4 linked regions of the Arabidopsis thaliana genome follow. The protein of the gene in region 2 purifies or fractionates together with the protein of the main gene of each other region. This does not show direct contact. Each region holds a gene or a part of one and is shown on either strand. Other genes may lie near its edges.

The links.
Region 1: the proteins of AT5G67630 (region 2) and AT2G27720 fractionate together in Arabidopsis thaliana (co-fractionation; one large-scale study listed by BioGRID). This does not show direct contact.
Region 3: the proteins of AT5G67630 (region 2) and EMB2719 fractionate together in Arabidopsis thaliana (co-fractionation; one large-scale study listed by BioGRID). This does not show direct contact.
Region 4: the proteins of AT5G67630 (region 2) and AT2G18900 fractionate together in Arabidopsis thaliana (co-fractionation; one large-scale study listed by BioGRID). This does not show direct contact.

The regions. Positions count from the first base shown.
Region 1 is NC_003071.7:11,817,095-11,820,100, reverse strand, and holds AT2G27720 (60S acidic ribosomal protein family), read right to left. Parts: upstream 1,406-3,006; coding exon 1,318-1,405; intron 1,230-1,317; exon of another isoform or gene 1,184-1,229; coding exon 1,139-1,183; exon of another isoform or gene 1,096-1,138; coding exon of another isoform or gene 1,080-1,095; coding exon 847-1,079; intron 758-846; coding exon 731-757; 3' UTR 523-730; downstream 1-522. Other genes in the region: AT2G27730 (copper ion binding protein), read left to right, coding at 1-45; AT2G27710 (60S acidic ribosomal protein family), read right to left, coding at 2,431-2,457, 2,563-2,795. UniProt on the Arabidopsis thaliana protein: Plays an important role in the elongation step of protein synthesis.
Region 2 is NC_003076.8:26,966,818-26,971,247, reverse strand, and holds AT5G67630 (P-loop containing nucleoside triphosphate hydrolases superfamily protein), read left to right. Parts: upstream 1-1,847; 5' UTR 1,848-1,941; coding exon 1,942-2,690; intron 2,691-3,052; coding exon 3,053-3,713; 3' UTR 3,714-3,870; downstream 3,871-4,430. Other genes in the region: AT5G67640 (uncharacterized protein), read left to right, coding at 700-804, 888-936, 1,007-1,333, 1,578-1,702.
Region 3 is NC_003070.9:7,000,561-7,006,139, forward strand, and holds EMB2719 (PAM domain (PCI/PINT associated module) protein), read right to left. Parts: upstream 3,873-5,579; 5' UTR 3,751-3,872; intron 3,616-3,750; 5' UTR 3,595-3,615; coding exon 3,516-3,594; intron 3,423-3,515; coding exon 3,232-3,422; intron 3,041-3,231; coding exon 2,900-3,040; intron 2,811-2,899; coding exon 2,674-2,810; intron 2,573-2,673; coding exon 2,518-2,572; intron 2,430-2,517; coding exon 2,319-2,429; intron 1,952-2,318; coding exon 1,712-1,951; intron 1,362-1,711; coding exon 849-1,361; 3' UTR 527-848; downstream 1-526. Other genes in the region: AT1G20220 (Alba DNA/RNA-binding protein), read right to left, coding at 4,530-4,621, 4,702-4,935, 5,055-5,111, 5,219-5,275, 5,393-5,467, 5,555-5,579. UniProt on the Arabidopsis thaliana protein: Acts as a regulatory subunit of the 26 proteasome which is involved in the ATP-dependent degradation of ubiquitinated proteins.
Region 4 is NC_003071.7:8,187,715-8,194,224, reverse strand, and holds AT2G18900 (Transducin/WD40 repeat-like superfamily protein), read left to right. Parts: upstream 1-1,688; 5' UTR 1,689-1,815; coding exon 1,816-1,935; intron 1,936-2,011; coding exon 2,012-2,197; intron 2,198-2,284; coding exon 2,285-2,473; intron 2,474-2,574; coding exon 2,575-2,980; intron 2,981-3,115; coding exon 3,116-3,234; intron 3,235-3,330; coding exon 3,331-3,408; intron 3,409-3,547; coding exon 3,548-3,688; intron 3,689-3,781; coding exon 3,782-3,826; intron 3,827-3,909; coding exon 3,910-4,076; intron 4,077-4,254; coding exon 4,255-4,333; intron 4,334-4,419; coding exon 4,420-4,496; intron 4,497-4,592; coding exon 4,593-4,722; intron 4,723-4,807; coding exon 4,808-4,940; intron 4,941-5,023; coding exon 5,024-5,190; intron 5,191-5,275; coding exon 5,276-5,438; intron 5,439-5,519; coding exon 5,520-5,734; 3' UTR 5,735-5,988; downstream 5,989-6,510. Other genes in the region: AT2G18910 (hydroxyproline-rich glycoprotein family protein), read left to right, coding at 94-337, 630-727, 1,156-1,209.

The sequences.
Region 1 (3,006 bases), on a different chromosome or scaffold from region 2:
TACTTGAAAGCAGGTGGAAAGAAGCAGCCAGAGGTCCAAGAGTAAAGAGATAGATTGATTGATGGACTTGTGATGAGTGAATAAAACAGGGAGTAGCATTACTCATTCCTCCCTTGTGAGACACTTTGGAATCAAATCTTACGTTGCTGCTACTCTCTTTGAGTCTTTTCTTTTGTTTTTGTTACTTGACACAGTTTTTTTTTGTTTCCGGTTTGTTGACATTTAGTTTCTCAATCTAAACTCCAGAGACTTATTTTCGCTCTCTTTTGATCAGAATTAGGTATATCTTTATTCGGATAATCCTTCCCATCCAAACTGAAATTGTTAGTACCAACATTTTTTTTATCAGAACATATCTCGAGTACTGTGTTGATTGGATTCACATATCTTATGTTTCCAGAATCTGAACAATACAAAGAGGGAAGAGTCTGTTTTACACTACACCAAATCCTTACTCTAGGGAATTCTTCTGTATTCTCTTTAGGTTTAATTCTTAGTAAGCGAGTGAATAAGAGAATTTACTAAAGATCGTTCATAAGTGGACTATTGAAGATGTAACTAAGGCAATAGTTTGAAATATAAATGCCAATCACAAGTGGACTGATGTTTGAGTAAAAAAATCTCTTGAGAATTTCAGCAAAGTCTAAGAAGATAGTCGAATACAACAAACTAAACAACGACATAAAGATTTCGAAAGGGTACAGCAAAACCAAATGCCAAGTATACCGCATTACTCGAACAAACTGAAACCCATGTCCTGCAAATTGACACAAAACACACAACATGTGAGCCATCATTTCATTTGAAGAGATAAAAAACTGTTGTCAGAAAGAAAGTAAAACTTACATCATCGGATTCTTCTTTCTCTTCTTTCTTCTCTTCTTTCTTGGACTCAGCAGCAGGAGCACCACCACCTCCTCCACCTCCAGATGTAGCAGAAGCAACCGCAACACCACCACCACCTCCTGATGGTACTGAAGCTAACTTCTCCCTTCCAGCAGCAATTAGCTCAGCCAAGTCTTTCCCTTTCACTTCCTTCAACAAAAGCTCAATCTGAGAATCCTCTGTCTCAGCACCAACTGCAAAATCAAACATAACAATTGCCACACTCCATCAATTCTTCCTCCACCACAATTACAGCAATCACCTATAACAACACAGTCCAATACCAACACCATAATGCCTCTTATTGCATCACACTGTTCATTTCCAGCAAACATATACAATTCCTAGTTCCAATAACATTTCAAGTTAAACAAATTCTCACTACTAGAATAATCATGTATACATTCCAATGCTCAAATCAAAGTCACGAACCTGATCCAAGAATATCCTTGATATCGCCAGTGGTTGGGGAAGCTTTCCCGCTCAAGACGGCAAGCAAAAACGCAGCAACAACCTTCATTTTCTGAAGAAAAACAAAAACAGATCAAAAATCAAACATAGTACGATTACGTAGGAGAAGAAGGAGAGAGAAATGGAAATGGAGGCGCTTACTGCGGAAGTGTTGATGGATCTCGCAGGAGGCGGAGTGAGATTAGGGTTTTTAGACGGCGATGGAGAAGAAGTACGAAAAAATGAAAACTATATGATTTATATACGCTTAGGGTTTTTAATCTTATCAATGTATCTCCGAATTTAAAATTTTATTTAGGCCCAGTTCTTTCAAGCCCATATTTATATGGGCTCAATATTTCGATTGACGGGTAATATTGATGTTGAGAAGAGAACGACCAGATTATACAATTCTCTAGTTTTATTTTGTTTGATGGATGGGATTTCACCTCTAACCTCGTCTTCTATAGCACCTTCTTGGTCGATGACATCAAAAGTAGCTTCAACTCTACACCTGTTGTTTCCGAAACATCGCCTGCGTATGGCATTTCTCGGTATATGTAGTTGACAAGTGATATGTTTTGCAAGTTACTAATAAATTTGTGGTGTCAAAGTTTTAGCATAGTCTAGTTATTTTCTCATACGAATTATGATGTATTTACATATTGGACGGCATTGAAGGGGGAACAATTCAAGACTAGAATTTTTTTTTTATCCTTTTCTTACAATAATACTATTCTTGAAGTCATACGTAAGCCGAATCTGAATCTAGGTTCCAAATGAACGACAACGTATCATTAGCAAAGTCAAGGCTAGAGGTATCTCATCACCATTCGAGTCAAGATTTAAGACCATGACTAGGACCAATGCTTTTGTTGGCTACTAAAAACTCCAGAGTGACAAAGGCGATTGAGATAGAAGCAGAAATGCTAACAACAAAGTGCAAATGACATTCGGGTCAAAAACTCTTGAGAATTTCAGCAATGTCTAAAAAAGATGATCGAATACAAACTAAACAACAACAACATATAGATTTCAAAAGGTTACAATATTAAAAGAGGACAACAAAACCGGACTTTTCATGCTACTACCAGCTTACTCGAATAGACTGAAACCCATGTCCTGCAAATTAAAAACAAAAACACACACAAGTGAGCCATCATTTTTAGGTTAAATTTCAAGCTACTATTAAGATCAAGACTTTTGTTAGAAGGAAAGTAAACTTACATCATCGGATTCTTCCTTTTCTTCCTTCTTCTCTTCTTTCTTGGACTCAGCAGCAGAAGCACCACCACCTCCTCCACCTCCAGATGTAGCAGAAGCAACCGCAACACCACCTCCGCCACCAGACGGCACTGAAGCTAACTTCTCCCTTCCAGCAGCAATCAACTCAGCCAAATCTTTTCCTTTCACTTCCTTCAACAAAAGCTCAATCTGAGAATCCTCTGTCTCAGCACCAACTGCAACACCAAACAAAAACAACAATGCCACATTCCATCAATCATCCCAAACTCATTATTGTATCCCATTGTTCACTAAATCATTACTCTTAACAATACTTACGCATCTCGACTATCATAAACACCGTTTAAGTCGATAGGAACCATAAAAATCCCTAATATACATATCATTTCAGCTTAAGCAAGTTCTCAACTATCTAATAAAGATTTC
Region 2 (4,430 bases):
GTCTTCAAAGATTTCAGATTTGGGTCGAATCTTTCTAACCCAGAAGGGCTGATGCAGCGTATCTCAAAGACGAACGTGTTGTTCGTCCCGTTTGGGCTGGCTCGTTGTTTGGGTTTTGTTTCTCATGGGCTTCATGTTTATTTAGCCTTTTAGTACTTGTATTCGTTTGCTTCTCTTTTATGTTAGTTTTTTTTTTTATCTTTCTCTTATTTGAAAAGACGTAATTTAGTATTGTAATTAGTTTTGATTATTGATTAAAGAGTTTTAAAGAGTGTTTTGTGTAAAGCCTATAAAAAAGGACTCCTAACCCTAAGAGCTTGTGTTCAAGCCCTGTAAGGAGGACTTGCAAAACCTTGTCGATATCGATCCCTTAGAATCGATCTCGATCTTATCATTTATTGCTTCTTCGTCAAGTTTTGACGTTTTAGCAAGATCTATTCGTGAATCCGACTTTTCCTGCAATCATGGAATAAGAATGTGTTTTTTTTTAAAATGTGTTTATTAAAGAAAGAAGGAAAAAAAAAGTTTTAGTTACATTTGACGTGAACTCTTTGACTTGTGTGGGTGCAATACTATATCAAAAAAATTGGGAGTAGTAATACAGTTACCACTAAAGTTTAGGGACATAATGAACAAAAAAAAAAAAAAAAGTTACACATCTTATGAATTAGACGGAGATTTCGCTGCCAAGTGCCGACGATGCGACGGCGAGAAGAAAAGCGTCGAGAATTTCACGAAGCTCTTCTTCAAACACTGTATCCTCCTTCATCGCCACCTTCTTCTCCTTCCTATTCTCCGCCTCCGGTATTTTCTCAATCTCTATTTGTGTCAATTTGTTAGTTCTCGATTGGGTTATGAATCGATAAATGTTCCCGCCATTGTTTCAGGTGGAGGTTGTTGATAACGAACCATTCGATGTGTCACTCATAAACCCAGGTACGATTAATGTAATCTTAACAAGTTATTTACACTTTGGAAGTCACATTCAAATTTGTTTATTATTCAGAGGATTACTTGAAAATCGATTCATCTAATCACGGAGAAGACAAAGAAATCGGAGACGAATTGGGGATTGCAGAGAAACAGAGTCGAGCGCAGAGAAAGAGGTTAAGGAAGAAGATGCTCAAAGAGGAAGCAGCTCGACGGAAGAAAGTCATCGGACCTTTACTTCCGACTGAAATGCTTCAGACCCATGATGAAAGAAGTGTCGGAGATGCTTGTGGGAGCAATGTTGAAGAAGAAGATTCTGACGGTGGCGAAGAAGAGGTTGATGGGAGCATTAGCAACATATGCTCACAACTTGTTCGACCAAATGCCCAAGAGAAGAAAGAAGGTACACACAGCTTTTGACTTTTTTGACGATATCCTTAGTTTCAAATCTTTTGGGAAAAATTCGTACTTTATCTAACTAGATTTCATAACACATGTACGTATTCAGATCAAGGGTTTGACTTTAATCAAAATCTACTAGCTCATCAAGTTGTTGTCTCATTGTTGGTCCTGTGCAAATTACTCAAACGTTCTCTTTTGTGTATTAATTACATTACGCGTCTGACTCTTTATTTTTTGTTTGGTAGGACTAATCGGTGACAATGATAAGACGAGAAAAGTCAAGAAGAGAAGAAATGCTAAGAAACTGGCCAAAGAGAGTTCTAAGAATATCCAGGATGGATCCAATGCAATCCCTGAAATTCCTAATTAGGGTTCAAATTATCACAGACCTTTATCTAAGAGTTAATTACTTCATCTTTAATAATTCAAGGGTATATTACTAAATTTATAATTCTCGTCTATAAGATTTGTGAGTTCCTTTTATGCCCTTGTTAAGAGGATTTAACTCTTACATCGTCATTGCCATTGTGTAGCTTTTCTCTAAACCCTAAAACCTTAACTTTTTGCTCTTCTCCCTCCGCCTCAATCGCACGAAGACGATAATCGAATATGGCGGAACTAAAGCTATCAGAGAGTCGGGACTTAACCAGAGTCGAGCGAATCGGCGCACACTCACACATCAGAGGACTAGGTCTCGACTCTGCCCTCGAGCCGCGAGCTGTTTCCGAAGGTATGGTCGGTCAAGTGAAGGCGCGTAAAGCCGCCGGTGTAATCCTTCAGATGATTAGAGAAGGGAAAATCGCGGGTCGGGCTATTCTAATAGCGGGTCAACCCGGAACGGGTAAGACAGCGATTGCAATGGGTATGGCGAAATCTCTTGGCTTGGAAACTCCTTTTGCGATGATTGCAGGAAGTGAAATTTTCTCATTAGAGATGTCAAAGACAGAAGCTTTGACTCAGTCTTTTCGTAAAGCGATTGGTGTTAGGATCAAAGAAGAGACAGAGGTTATTGAAGGAGAAGTTGTTGAGGTTCAGATTGATAGGCCTGCTTCTTCTGGTGTTGCTTCCAAGTCAGGGAAGATGACTATGAAAACGACTGATATGGAAACTGTGTATGATATGGGAGCTAAGATGATTGAGGCTTTGAACAAGGAGAAAGTGCAGAGTGGTGATGTTATTGCCATTGATAAAGCTACTGGGAAGATTACTAAGCTTGGAAGATCGTTTTCGAGGTCTCGTGATTATGATGCTATGGGTGCGCAGACCAAGTTTGTGCAGTGCCCTGAAGGTGAGTTGCAGAAGAGGAAAGAGGTTGTACATTGTGTCACTCTTCACGAGATTGATGTTATCAACAGCAGGTACTTTTAACATTCCCTGAATTGTAAACATTGGTAATCATGATTTGGTATCTGCAATACCAATGTAGGTTGCAAAATTGAAGTTTTAGTGATTAGGTGATTGGGAATTTAGTTGATTTGGCTCACTAATTTCAGATGAGATGTCTCAAATTTGAGATTAATTCATTGCTTTATATGCTCTTGAAATTCTCAAGCTCATTTTCTTTAGCAGTGTGTAGTCAGAGCACTCTTTATAACTATAACTAACTCATCTGTTTGTGGTATCGTTAGAACCAATTTTGGTTGCGGAATTTAATGTTTGAAACATGATTGGTAGAACAAAAAAAAGTAACTTTGTGTACTTCTTCTTTGTTTGCTTGCAGGACACAAGGGTTTCTTGCCCTTTTCACTGGCGATACTGGAGAAATCCGATCAGAAGTCCGGGAACAAATTGATACAAAAGTAGCTGAATGGAGAGAAGAAGGAAAAGCAGAGATAGTTCCCGGAGTTCTCTTCATTGATGAAGTCCACATGCTCGACATCGAATGCTTCTCATTCCTTAACCGAGCTCTAGAAAACGAAATGTCACCAATCCTTGTGGTGGCAACAAACCGAGGAGTGACGACAATCCGTGGCACAAACCAGAAATCACCACACGGGATCCCGATTGATCTCCTTGACCGTCTTCTCATCATCACTACCCAACCTTACACAGACGATGACATAAGGAAGATATTAGAAATCCGTTGCCAAGAGGAAGACGTTGAGATGAACGAAGAGGCCAAACAGCTTTTGACATTGATCGGACGTGATACATCTCTAAGGTATGCGATTCATCTTATAACCGCAGCTGCATTGTCATGCCAGAAACGGAAAGGGAAAGTCGTGGAGGTTGAGGATATTCAGAGAGTTTACAGACTGTTCTTGGATGTGAGGAGATCGATGCAGTATCTTGTTGAGTATCAGAGTCAGTATATGTTCAGTGAACCAATCAAAAACGATGAAGCTGCTGCAGAAGACGAACAAGATGCTATGCAGATCTGAGGATCCACCTCTGTTTGCCTTATTTATCATGTTTCGTGGTGATATGTATGATTAGGATGTTGAACTCGGATTTATGTTTTTTTTTTTTTAAGTTGTGACGAGATTCGGTTCTAGAAAATGATTTAACCAAGTTCAATACAGATCGGTTTGGTACAAATTTGATTTTGTTTGGATTTGGTCAACTTATTTCGGTTCGGTTAGACTAGACTGTAGGAGATGGTTTTACTAAATTAGTCTGGCCCGTTAAGACTTTATATGGGCTTTAAGCCCAATATTGACGAGTATAGTGAATCTCTCTCTTATCATTAAATACATGTAAGCGTGTGTTGTTCGCAAAATTTGACACGCATGCAAGTCTCTACCATCAGAGTAAATTAATTACGAGTGTTCTCTTACCAGACTTCATCGGTTTTTGGTGGCGTGTTTTGGTGTAACGAATTTATTTTGCTTGGTCGGGTCAATTTCAACTTATTTAGTGAAATATTATCTAAATTTATGAATAAACGTGTGTCCTTGAATTTCTTGAATAAAGATTTCAAAACAAACGGCTTTGTAGAACAAGAGTTAATGATAGAAGGCCAAACAAATTGTTCCAAACTCATGGATTGAATTAATCTAATTTACACATCGCTTGCAAGTAATTAGAAAAAACAAACATCACACGCTGGTGAATCCAACCAAAAATATGCATTATAAAAAGTCGAACAAATCTATTGA
Region 3 (5,579 bases), on a different chromosome or scaffold from region 2:
CTTCCGTCAACTTAACACTTGTTCGTTGTCACCAACATATGAAAAATCGTGGACTGCAAAGTCTGCAATCCGAAATCCAGACTACACTACCAAGTAACTTCCGCAGTAAGAAAACAAAATATGGATACTGGATACAACAAGATTAAGGAATTGAGGAGCTTGTTTGGATATGATTAGAGTGTAAGAATATATTGACCCATTACAAATCTACAATTATGAAAATTACATTTTGATTGTATGGATTAAATAGTTGGCAGTTGTAGCTATCAAAGAGCCCGGGTATTATTCTACAGATTTTTGTCATTATTAAGAAGTTAATGAATCGAACCAGAAACACCTATAATTAAAAGCATAACATGAGATTGTTTTATTCAAGAAAATGAGACCTAGTTTGGCAGAGATAGACTAATGTATCAATACACATAATGGTCAATACACATGTCCTGTTTTCATTCTTTAGATATTTATGACTGCTTATCTATCATTTAATGTAAATTATGAATGTGGATTTTAATGGTATGCATCGCCTGGAGATGATAGCATTTCACATGGTCAATTTCTAATAATGACCCACCTAATACAGCTAGCTATAACTACAAGTGTTCAATTCTTAAAATGCGAAAATCTCCCAAACACAATTAAACGAAGTTGAATTTGATCTTCTGAAACCAACAAGATAAATATCTTTTCCTAAAGTGAAACCAGAGTAATAAAAAGGTTCCTGAGGATAAAAATCCTCAATAAAGAAACACTTAGAGACGATGAGAAGAGTACCAAGTAAACTTGTGAACATAAAAAAAGTGAGACAGATGGAGAGTCAACTCTTATAAGAAATAGATGACCTTTGTCTAAAAATCATCATCGTCTTCCTCAGCCATATGCTTAGCAAGCTCTTCTTCCTGTTGCTTCCTCTCTCTCCTCTTCTCATCGCTTTCTTTCTCCTTGTGAGTGTTAGGAGGAAACCTCAATGCTCTGACAGCTTCGTTATGCATGTTGAGGCAGAAAGCAATTCTTGAGTTGAACGCAGTTTGTGGCTCATTCGTCGAGTAGATGTCCCCAGTTTCTTTGGAGACCATGCATCCGTTTTTGTGATCGATTGTAGCATCAATAGCTCCGTCGCGTATGGCCTTTGCCACGATGCTTTCCGCATCAGCCACAGGGTTTTCAGAGTTGAGCCTCAGCTTTTTGGCAACATCGGGTAAAGAGATTCTTGAGTAGGAGATACTTATGTTCCGCAGTCCAGTCCTGATGACATTGTGGCGGAGTCGCACGATGAGATTGTGCGTTCTGTCTTGAGCAAATGTGTCCAAGAACTTCTCCTGGACTGTCCTAAACAACTCCAAGTCCCCAATCCTAACCGCCTGTAAAATCAAAACAGAGCTTTAATAGTAAGCCTCAGATCAAAATCAGTATCAACTATCCAGTTGCATCATATATCTCTAAAAAGCAACAGTAAACAGCCAGAAATTCATGTTCAATATAATTCGAAGGAGCAGAAAACAACAGCAGCAACAAAATTGTGTTTCAAGTGACCACAGAGAGATTTTAACAGAAGAGGTGTATAGGCCAGTAAGTGAAAAGTAGGAACCGGTTTAAAATCAGAAGTGAAGTAGCAAGATCACAAGTGACCACATACTAATACCAGTTTAGTTATCCGCTCATAAATTAATGAATACATGTCACAGCAGCAAGATTATGAAAGTGGACTCACATTTGTTAGCTCGAAGTAGGGTCTGAGGGCCTTCTCCATACCCTTTTGAGTGAAGATAGAACGCTCTGGTATCTCACCCAGCAGTAGACGAACCAGAATTGCCCATTTATTGCATTGGATCCTGAAGCCCAAAGCTGCTATAGGGGCTTTCCTGGCCGCCTGAAGAAGGCTCTCTTTTGCGTCCGTATATTCGAGCTGAATAGTACGAATCTTCCCGAGATAGAAAAGGTACCTACAAAACTGCAAAGTATAATGTTTTAGACAAGTCATCTTGCTGTTTATTCTTTTGAAACAGTAACAATTGAAGGGTTAAAAAAAGAACAAAATTCATATGTAGCAAAGAAAAACACAAGGTAGATCGATGGTAATGGTAAGAGGTGGTGTCAGAAGTATGAAAAGGACAGGCAAAATGGACACTTCAAGTAAGTTCGGCAAATAATTAGTGATTGAAAAGAAAACACAAGAGCCTCCTAGATGGAAAATGCTATAGCGAATAGAAAAAATAATTCTCTGGAAAGATTGCAGAAGTGGCATTGGAGTTTTCATGCAAATATAGAATCTAGAGAACCGAGAAAACTTAGAGTATGAAGGAATAGCCAAGAGCTACCTGTTGGTTTGAATGAGCCTCAAAGCGAGGTGCCTTTGATCTTAGCTTCTCTGCCTGATCATAGAGGTTGTAATGCAAATAGTTACGTAGCAACAGGTTCAGAAGGGTTTCCTGCATTCAACATGATAAATTTGAATAAGAAGCAAGTAACAGTTTCAAAATAATGAATGCCGACTGAATGAGCTAAACAAAGACATACCTGACCCAGCTCATCGTGTCTTAGCGTTGCAGAATGATGCAACGCAAGAAGAGTACTGCAGGTAGAAAAAATGACCAGATTATTAACTATTGAGCTACTGATTAATATGAGGTGTAAGACAAAGTACAAAACTAAAACAGTCTTTGAGCTACTAACCCGCGAATTTCAGCAAGATCACCGGTTTGCTCATAACTCAAAGAATAGTAAAAGTAGAGTCTTGATGCTATCACATCAATGGTCCTTCGGTTGACGTTCTTGAGACGAGCAATGCTTGCTGAAGAACAAGCTTTAGCCTAAGAGATGATTAAAAGCAACTCATTAAAATTAAAATCACAACAGAAAAGTAACTTATGACAAAACACAAAGATACAGCAGTAGTTACCTCGTTGTACTTCTTCTGATCAATCAGAAAAAGAAGAACAATGAAGTAGCAGTAGATCTCGAGCTCTGCAGGTAGATGCTTAGAAGGAGCAGCTTGTGTGGCCGATGAGGCAGTATCAACTTCCATGTCATGTTCATCACCCTAAACCATTAAAAGTTCCAATATTTCAGTCTCTAAGCCAGTTGTATGTTAGATAACTTGCCATTCACAACATCAAAAGAAAGTATAACAACCATAACACGAATCTAAACAACCTAAAGCCAGATGCTAAAAGGAACAACCAAGTTGAGAATTCTGAAACATCAAAGTGAAGAAGTAAAACCCACAAATACCTTAGGAACAAAGGAAGAGAGGCGAGAGTGAGCTTCGGATCCTGGAACCAAAGCAAAATCCAGGAAGGAAGAGAGCACAGAGCCGGTGAGTTTCTGCCTAAGCCCTATAGTGAGACGCACAGCACGAGCAATACGACGAACCTCCTTCGTGTAAGACCCAGTATCGATGAGTGCTGCAATCTCCTTCAAATCTGGGAAACAAAGAAACAAAGCGTCAAAACCCAGAAGAAACTTAGCAATTATGAAAACAGTTCGAGAATTAAAGCATTCAGATCGAGATTTACTCTGCATAGTAGAGGTAGAAGAAGAGATAATCGATTGAGAAGGGGTGTTGTTATCTTTCATCTCCACGTCCTGAGTCATCTTTGCACAAATCTCGTTACTCTTCACAAAGACAAAAACAAGGTTAGGGTTTTTGCAGAAGTATGCAACTAAGCCGGTGAGATTTCAAGGAACCGATTGAAGTTTCAACCAATTTGTTGACTGAGAAAGACGGAGAGATAAAGACAGAGAGCTTACTAAATCGATAAAACGGAATTCGCCGGGAGAAAGTGACGATGATGGATCAGATTTAAGGACGAGCTGATGCTGCTGAGACTCTTTTCTTTCCTAAGTATTTTCCTTTTTTTGGACACAACAAAAAAAGTATATTTCTTTTTGTTCAAGACAGCTTTTTTCCATATTAGTATTTATATCTTCTACATTACGATTGAGCAACAAATGTCGTTGTAGTATAGTGGTAAGTATTCCCGCCTGTCACGCGGGTGGCCCGGGTTCGATCCCCGGCAACGGCGATTAACTTTTTGGTTACTAGTTTTGTTTGGACCTCTCTCACTTATTTTCGTACGCTTTCTTCGAATAGCCCAAAACACAACCAGCGCAAGTTGGGTTAATTTCTTTTTGTCTCAAAACACGTTGGAACTTGGAATTACAATTTTATTATTCATTATTTTTTCTTGTTATCTTTTTATGTTGTTAGAATATATAATCAACTGATATACGAACCAATGGAAAAAGGCAATGCCAAAGGGGGTTGTTTACTTGTTAGTGTCAATACGCCGACGAATGTAATTGGAGTCAAACAAATATCCAAAACTCAAAAAAGAGACAAAACTAGAAAACTCTTGAAGGAATAAAAACTTGAAAATCCAAGATCCATGATAAAATAAATGAGGATATATATAACCTAAAGCGACATGAACGAAAGATTATTCTACGGCAACAAGTTGCTTTGAAGAACAGAGACAAAAACATGAGAATGTAAGAAAGATCCAACTTCATTCAATGACCCTGGTCGCTCATGCAGCAGCCTGGATAGGTGCTCCATTTGATCTGTTGAATCCACCACGGCCTCCTCCTCTTCCACGACCTCCCCTTCCACGGCCACGTCCTGTTCCAACAATTTTTAAACATTTACAACTCATCATTATTTAATGAGAAAACATTAGTGTAACAAAATCATCAACGTACCACGTCCCTGAGGCGGAGGACCATCATATCCATGGTCTGCTGGAGGAGCAACATTGTTGTATCCATAGTCTCCTCCATCTTGTTGAGCTTCATAGTAAGGTGGTGGGGGGCCATTGTAACCTCCTCTTCCTCGACCACCACGTCCACCTCCTCTCCCACGCCCGCGTCCTCTGCCATATGACCGGTCCTGCTCCATACCTCCATCATTATACTCATTGTTCACATATCCACTTCCTGGCAAATCCGAAAGAAGAAATAGCACAAGCCAATCAAACACTTGTCCGCCGATCACATGCAAATATGTTAAAAGGTAAAACTAAGATTTGGAAAGAAATATTCTAAAGCAATTCTACCTCTGCCGCCTCTTCCCCTTCCTCCATCATCATACTCATTGTTCACATATCCGTTTCCTGGTAAATCAAACAAAAAAAGAAATAGCACAACACATTCAAACCCTTATCCACAAATCATATGCAAAAATCTATACTCAAATACGATTTGGCTAAAGATATCCTACCTCTGCCACCTCTTCCCCTTCCTCCATCATCATACTCAACATTCGCAGGTCCATTTCCTGATAAGTCGAAAAAAGGAATTAGCACAGTCCACTCAAACGCTTATCCACAAATCACATGCAAAAGCTTACAACGAAACTACGACACTGTATAAACAATTTCTAAAGTAATCCTACCTCTACCACCTCTTCCCCTTCCCCTTCCTCTTCCTCCTCTACCTCTTCTTCCTCCTCTGCCTCTAGGAGATCCGTCTACAAGAAAGAGATAATTTAAAAACTTAAAAAAGACAGCAGGGCAGGGAGCTTAAAAACGTCATTAAGAGTGAGACTCTAAAATACCTTGCCCTTCGTAGTCAATCTCAGC
Region 4 (6,510 bases), on a different chromosome or scaffold from region 2:
AGCAAGCAAGAACCTTTCTTCTTCTTCTTCTTAATCTCAGATTCTTGTCTGAAAACTTTCTCTTTCATTTTCTCTCAATTTAACACTTTCAAGATGCCGATCAACAAAGACCCATCAACACCTCCTCCTGTTATCGGAAAAATCGGTCCTTACACTGTCTTTATGACTCCTCCTGCGACTCCTAAACCACCTGAATCTCCCTCCGCTGTGTCTCAGAAGCCTGTGATGGCACCACCGGTTCTTCCTCCGCCGCAGCAGTTTAAATCGGTGGCTTCTTCTGACCAGGACGGCTCAGTTTTGGGGTTCTTTAAAAACGCCGTCACAAAGGTTCAAAATGGTGAGAAATCTGATAAACAATTAACTGATTTTCAGCTCAAAGTTTCCTCATTTTTAGATCTTGAATTTGAGATTGATTTTTCCGATACCCTTTGATTGATTGATTAGGAAATTGAACTCAAAAATGATATAAATCGTTGTAAAGTTTCTATCTTTGTGAAGTGATTGGAAAGTACTAATGTTACATGAATTCTAGCTTTTCATACTGTTTATGTGATTTGGTCCTAAAAGCAATTAGATTGTGAATTTGACATTCATGTTGTGTGTGTGTGTTCTAATCCATTTGACTACAGCACATTCAAGTGTGGATGATCATTTGGTGAGGTGGTTTGGGTTAAACCAATCTAAGTATCAGTGGGCTTTGGATGAGTACTACGAAAGCAAAGAATCAGTAAGTTTTTTTTTGAGTCTCTATATGTTTCCTTTGAGTCTCTATATGTTTAGTTTCTTGTTCTTGCGGGTCCTGTATCGTTCTTTGTACTAGTTTCTATCGATAATCGATTCCTTTAGTCCGATTGATTCATCAGCTTTTTGTTTCATGTACATTTTGCGTAAGCTTAGAAGTAAAGCTAGTTTAAGTGTTTTTTTGCTCTTTGCTTCTAGGCTAATGAACATAACAATATACAACCAATGAAATTGATACAACATATTTGAAGCTTGATATTCACTCAATATCAGTTGTAAAAATTGTTCATTGGTATTTGGTAGTCAAAAATGTCATTGATTGGTTTTAGAGTTACTACTCTCTTTAGTCATTGATTTGCTTATGTTCCTCAAGTAAATCTTGTAGTTAACACATATCTTTTGAATCGAACGCAGGATATGAAGACCGTGAAAGCAAAGGAGATGCCGGGGAAAGTACAGAGTGTATAAGCAACCATGTATAAACTCATTTCCCCTTTGGCCAATTCTAAAATCTGTTTTTCTGAGAGAGTTCAAAAAAGCTTGAGTCTTGAGGAAAGTTCTCTTCAGATGATATTTAATCTTAGAGATTTCTTTTGGTATATTTCAAAACCTATGTAGTAGCTCTTTCTAGTTTCATCTAACAATGGTGAAATCTCCAAAGCAAAATGGAGAGATGTCATTGGTCATTTGGTTTGTTGTAAGTTTAATCACATTATTTACTTTTTAATTGTATCGTTATAATCTATATATTGTCTCAATTCAAAAAAGTTTGCTCAGTGTTTTTCTTTTGATTGTTGTCATACATGAAAACTTTTGCTAGATACCTCTCAAAACTTCAATAATTATCTTCATCAAACCTAACAAGGCCCATTACAAAGGCCCAAAAACATTATTGTTTAATATTTTCCGATTAAATAAATAGATAAAAACTGAAATGTAATTGAGCAGAAAAAAAAACAAAAGAGACGAAGAAGGGTTTAAGTTAGGGCTTTTGAAGTAAACCAATTTTGTGCGTCTCCCTTTTCTTCTTCTCTTCCCAATTTCACCGCCTCTCTCTATCGCCGGAAATTAACCATGAAACGCGGCGGAAGAAGCTACGTAACTTCACCTCCATCATTCTCCAACGACGCTAAAAAGCTTCTCGTCTGCACAGGAAACACTGTCTCTGTTTTCAGCGCCGCCACTGGCTTACAGGTACCAAAAATTTAATTCTTCTTCGATTTTGTTAGGGTTTCTATTCGAATCATTGATTGATACATTTCTGTTTTAGATTACTTCGCTTGAAGGTCATACAGCTCCAGTAACAACTCTAATTGTTGTTCCTGCATCAAGTCCTGCTCAAAAAATCCTTTGTTATTGTTGGACTGCTTCTCTTGATGGTACTATTCGTCATTGGGATTTCTCTGGACCTGAGCTATTGAAAACTATTGATGCTCAGCTTCCGATTTACTCTATGGTGAGTATAAAAAAAGTTTGATACTTTGATTAGGTTTTGTGAGTGTTTTGTTTGATGAAATGAATCTATGTGTTTTGTGTGTTTTAGGTTATACCATCTCTTTTGAGCGAACCTCAACAAATTGATAAACGTCGTGAGTTGTCTGGTAAGTTGGTTGCTTATGTTTCCGTTGAGGATATAAGTGTGGTTAACCAAGGGTCTAAAGAGTTGCGTGGACATATCCGAAGATTTAACCTCGCTAAGTCGCGTATTCCTCGTGGAGATACTTTAAAAGAGGTTAGTTTTTTTAATGGACTTATTTGAAAGAGGTTTGTCTTTAATGTTGTCTTGAAGTTGAATTGTGTAAGCTCAAGTTATTTGCTTATTTCTTTGTGTAGACGGCAGAACCAGAATCTATTGTTATTAGTCCCTCGGGAGAATTTTTCGGAATCCGTCACAAGTGTAAAATTCATATATGGGATGTTCCTTCTGGAGGATCAAGGCATGCGGTTTCAAGGAAGATGACATTACATCACACAAAGGTTATCAATGCTTTTGCTTTTCATCCCACGGAGAGAGTTATAGCTGCTGGAGATGTAACTGGAAGAGTGTTGATTTGGAGAGGATTTGGTAATAGAAAACTTGCCTTGGGTAATCAAAAGAAAAAAGTGAGAGCCATGGTTGATTTGGACAATGCTGGAGTGAGAGGTGAAGATGATGCTGAATCTTGCACTACATGGCACTGGCATTCTGCTGAAGTTAATGTCCTTAATTTCTCTTCCGATGGAGCATATTTGTATTCAGGTGCGGCCGAGTTATATTCTGATATCCATTGGATTTATGAACCGACATAGACTAATAGGTCATGAGCAAATTTACTGTTTGAAAGTAATGTCCTGACTTCTTACTCCATATTGCGTCTGTTTTCTGACTCTTTAGGGGGAAGGGAAGGGGTACTTGTCGTTTGGCAGCTAGACACAGGGAAAAAGAAATTCTTACCAAGGATAGGATCCCCCTTGCTGTATTTCATGTGGTCTCCAGATCCAACTCTTTCTTCTGTAAGTCGGAGCTTACTCTTTCATTCTAATCTAACACACAACTGCTGAAAGCAAAAGGGAATGTTTTACTGATTTGACTACGAATGAGAGCTGCAGGTGGTTTGTGCAGATAATCAGATCCATTTGCTTAAAATGCCTTCCATGGAGATCTTAAGGACCATTTCTGGAATCAAGGTTCGTCTTGGAAACTTAATAATTAAGGACCTGTAATCATTCTCGTCAGTTTTGTCAACGATTCTAGGATTCTAGAAACTCTCGCAACCGCTTTACCTTTTTCTTGGTGTTTACTTCAATGTGTGTTATTTTGTTACAGCCTCCCCCATCATTGCCTAGGATGTATGAAGGCTTGGCTAGTACTGTTGCCTTTGATCGATCTTCTGGCATAGCTGCTTTGTGCACAGAGAATTATTGTGTACAGCTATATAATCTTCTCAATGACCGGGGAATTTCAGAGGTTAGAATTTGGCTCCAATATATCCTTAAGAAACTCTATGCCACTTTCTCCTGTCTATGAAATCTCTAACTTCTTTAATCAATGCTTTTGCAGATTCAAGTTTGTGAGAGAAACCATCAACCAGGAGATGAGATCACAGTAAGTACATTTCCTTGCTGTTTATTTGATAGTATATCTAAGATTATTTTCGTTTGGGTGATAATTTGAGTAAACGGTAATAGGTTGTGGTGACAGCGGTTGCTCTCTCCCTGGATGGCTCAGTGATGAGTACAACCGAGGTGAAACTTCCGGAAGATGGAATAGGAGGCTTAGTGTCCCTCAAGTTTTGGGCGTCTGAACCAGACAGCAAAACTTTCACCTTATCCACAATCGTATATGAACCTCATAGGTTAATATTTCACCCTCTGCTAATGGATAAAGCTTTATTTTTCACCATTACCCAATTTTCTTGTCATGTTTTATTTCTTGTAAACCTTGCAAACATAGATTTCAATTTCTCTTATTTAGTCTACAAACTGTTATATCCTTTGCAGAGAGTAAATTTTATTTTCCTGTATATCTTACAGGGATGCCGGTGTCTCAGCCATTGTGTTCCACCCTACCCGCTCCATGGCAGTGAGTACATCATTCGGTGGTGACTTCAAGGTAGTTCTTAAACTGATTTTACATTTTTCTCTCTGTGTTTTTTGTTTGTTATTATTGTCTTACTGATATCACTTTTGCTGTTTCAGATTTGGGTATGCAACAGTGACAAGAACCAGACGGATAAAGACTCTAGCTGGATATGTCACGCTGTTGGCTCTTATAAGTAATAGCTTCTCTACGCGCTAGGAAATTTCAACATTCACAAATTATTCGCCTTGGCGATCAAATTTATATTCTCTTGCCTTTGAATATTTTCCAGGAAGAAACCAATGACTGCTGCTGCTTTCTCTGGGGATGGCACTGTTATGGCTGTTGCGGCTGAGAATGTTATTACACTGTGGAATCCAGATAAGAACATTCTCTTGTCTGTTCTAGGATCGACACTCACGGTAAAACCTATGAAGTTATCCCTAAAAAAGCTGGAACCTTTTTCCATAAAGACCAATGTTTAAACCTCTCTATATATTATTACAGCCTATCACGAAGCTCTGTTTCGCTGGAAAGTCTGAGTTCCTTGTTGCTGCATCCCATATTCCAAGACCTGAACTATCTGTTTGGAATACATCAAAGTTATCTTTATCATGGTCATATGGGTTACGCATAGAAGGTCAGTATTATAATGCTTCTTTGATTTCCCCATGAAAACTCTTGCTGTGGTTTACTTAGAAAATGCTTGTTCTCGTTCTATAGCTGTCACCTCTGCAGTGGATTCGTCAGCATTTGCAGTCTTGGCTGTGATCCCAAAAACTTTTAAAACAGATGAATCTAAGGAGAACATCTTCCGTGGTAGAGATGGTGCCATTCTTTTGTTTAACGGATCAGATCCCAAGCCGGTATCTATATGGACTGTGATGAAGGTATGACATAAGAAATAGCCCGTTAGTATTTAACCTTGGAGAGACAGGAAAGAATCCAACGAGTTAAACAATGTCTAAATTGCAGGCTAGGGGAGGATCAATCTCATTTTTAGAAGGAGATAAGTCTCAGCTTCGCCTTGCATATGTAAATGGAAGCCATGAATATGTTGTCTTTGATCCCAATAGTGATGAGTCACATGAGCGTAGCGCTGTTGACTACGATGGTCTTGCTGGTCTGGAAGAGACAGGTAGTTAAAACTTAAAACATATTTGAAAGAACCTTTGTTGATTATACCATGTTACTAATCGAAAAAGTCTCAACCTTTTAGGAGACGCCGGGTACACATCCTTATACGGGCAGTTACCTGATTATGACAAGAAGAGAATGGAGGATGTTGAGTCGTTGGGAACACCGTTTGTATCATCAGAAAGACCGTGGGAAACAATATTCAGCGGCTCCACACTAAATTTCCCGCCACTTCAGAAATTATGTGCTGAGTTCTTTGAGTCCCTAATGGAGAAAAGAACGGCCGTTGTGGAATGAGACCTTACACAAAAAGTTTTTTGTAAGGTTTATTATACAGAAGAAGAGCTCATTTTTGCAGCCATCTTTGGTGAGCAAAGTTGTTGAGTTTGTTCAGGAAATTTTGTAGCTCTTTGTTGTGAGATTCGGTCCAGTTTATTTATGTTGTTGCTACTCAAAAAATACAGGATTCTAACCAATTGTGCCATGTTTGACCCAAAAACGAAATGAAATATCACGACCTGCCTTTTTTTTTTTCGTTTCTAAAATACGGCATGCATTTATATATTTTAATGCAAATTGTTCTTGAAATCATAATGAGATTTATTATACTGAGGGTGCTTCGTTTTTAAATTTGAAAAATGTTCATGAAATCGTTATATATCCTTAGTGGAAATAAGCAAAATAATTTGGGGACTTTTTACTTTTGCTAATAGATTCTCAATAATTGTGAAACGAGTCAGGTGCTCCTAACCCACCAAAAGAAATTATTCCAAAATCCAAATATTTCAACTAACACCTTGCATTATTTTATTTGAACTTTGCTTGATAACATTTTGCATTATTAAGTTGGAAAATGGGAATACAAATAGATATTTCATATTTCGTGATTCGAGGTTCATCTATTATATATTTAGCTCTTTTGGTGGTCCAATATGTTGAGCAAATTATTCTTTAAGTACATGAAAAAGGTAATTGCTTTGGGGACACTTACCTTTTTATTTTTATTTCCACATGCATGTAGGACAATAGTTTGCAAGGTTTGTGTTACGTCTTCGAAAAGCTTTCTACTTTTG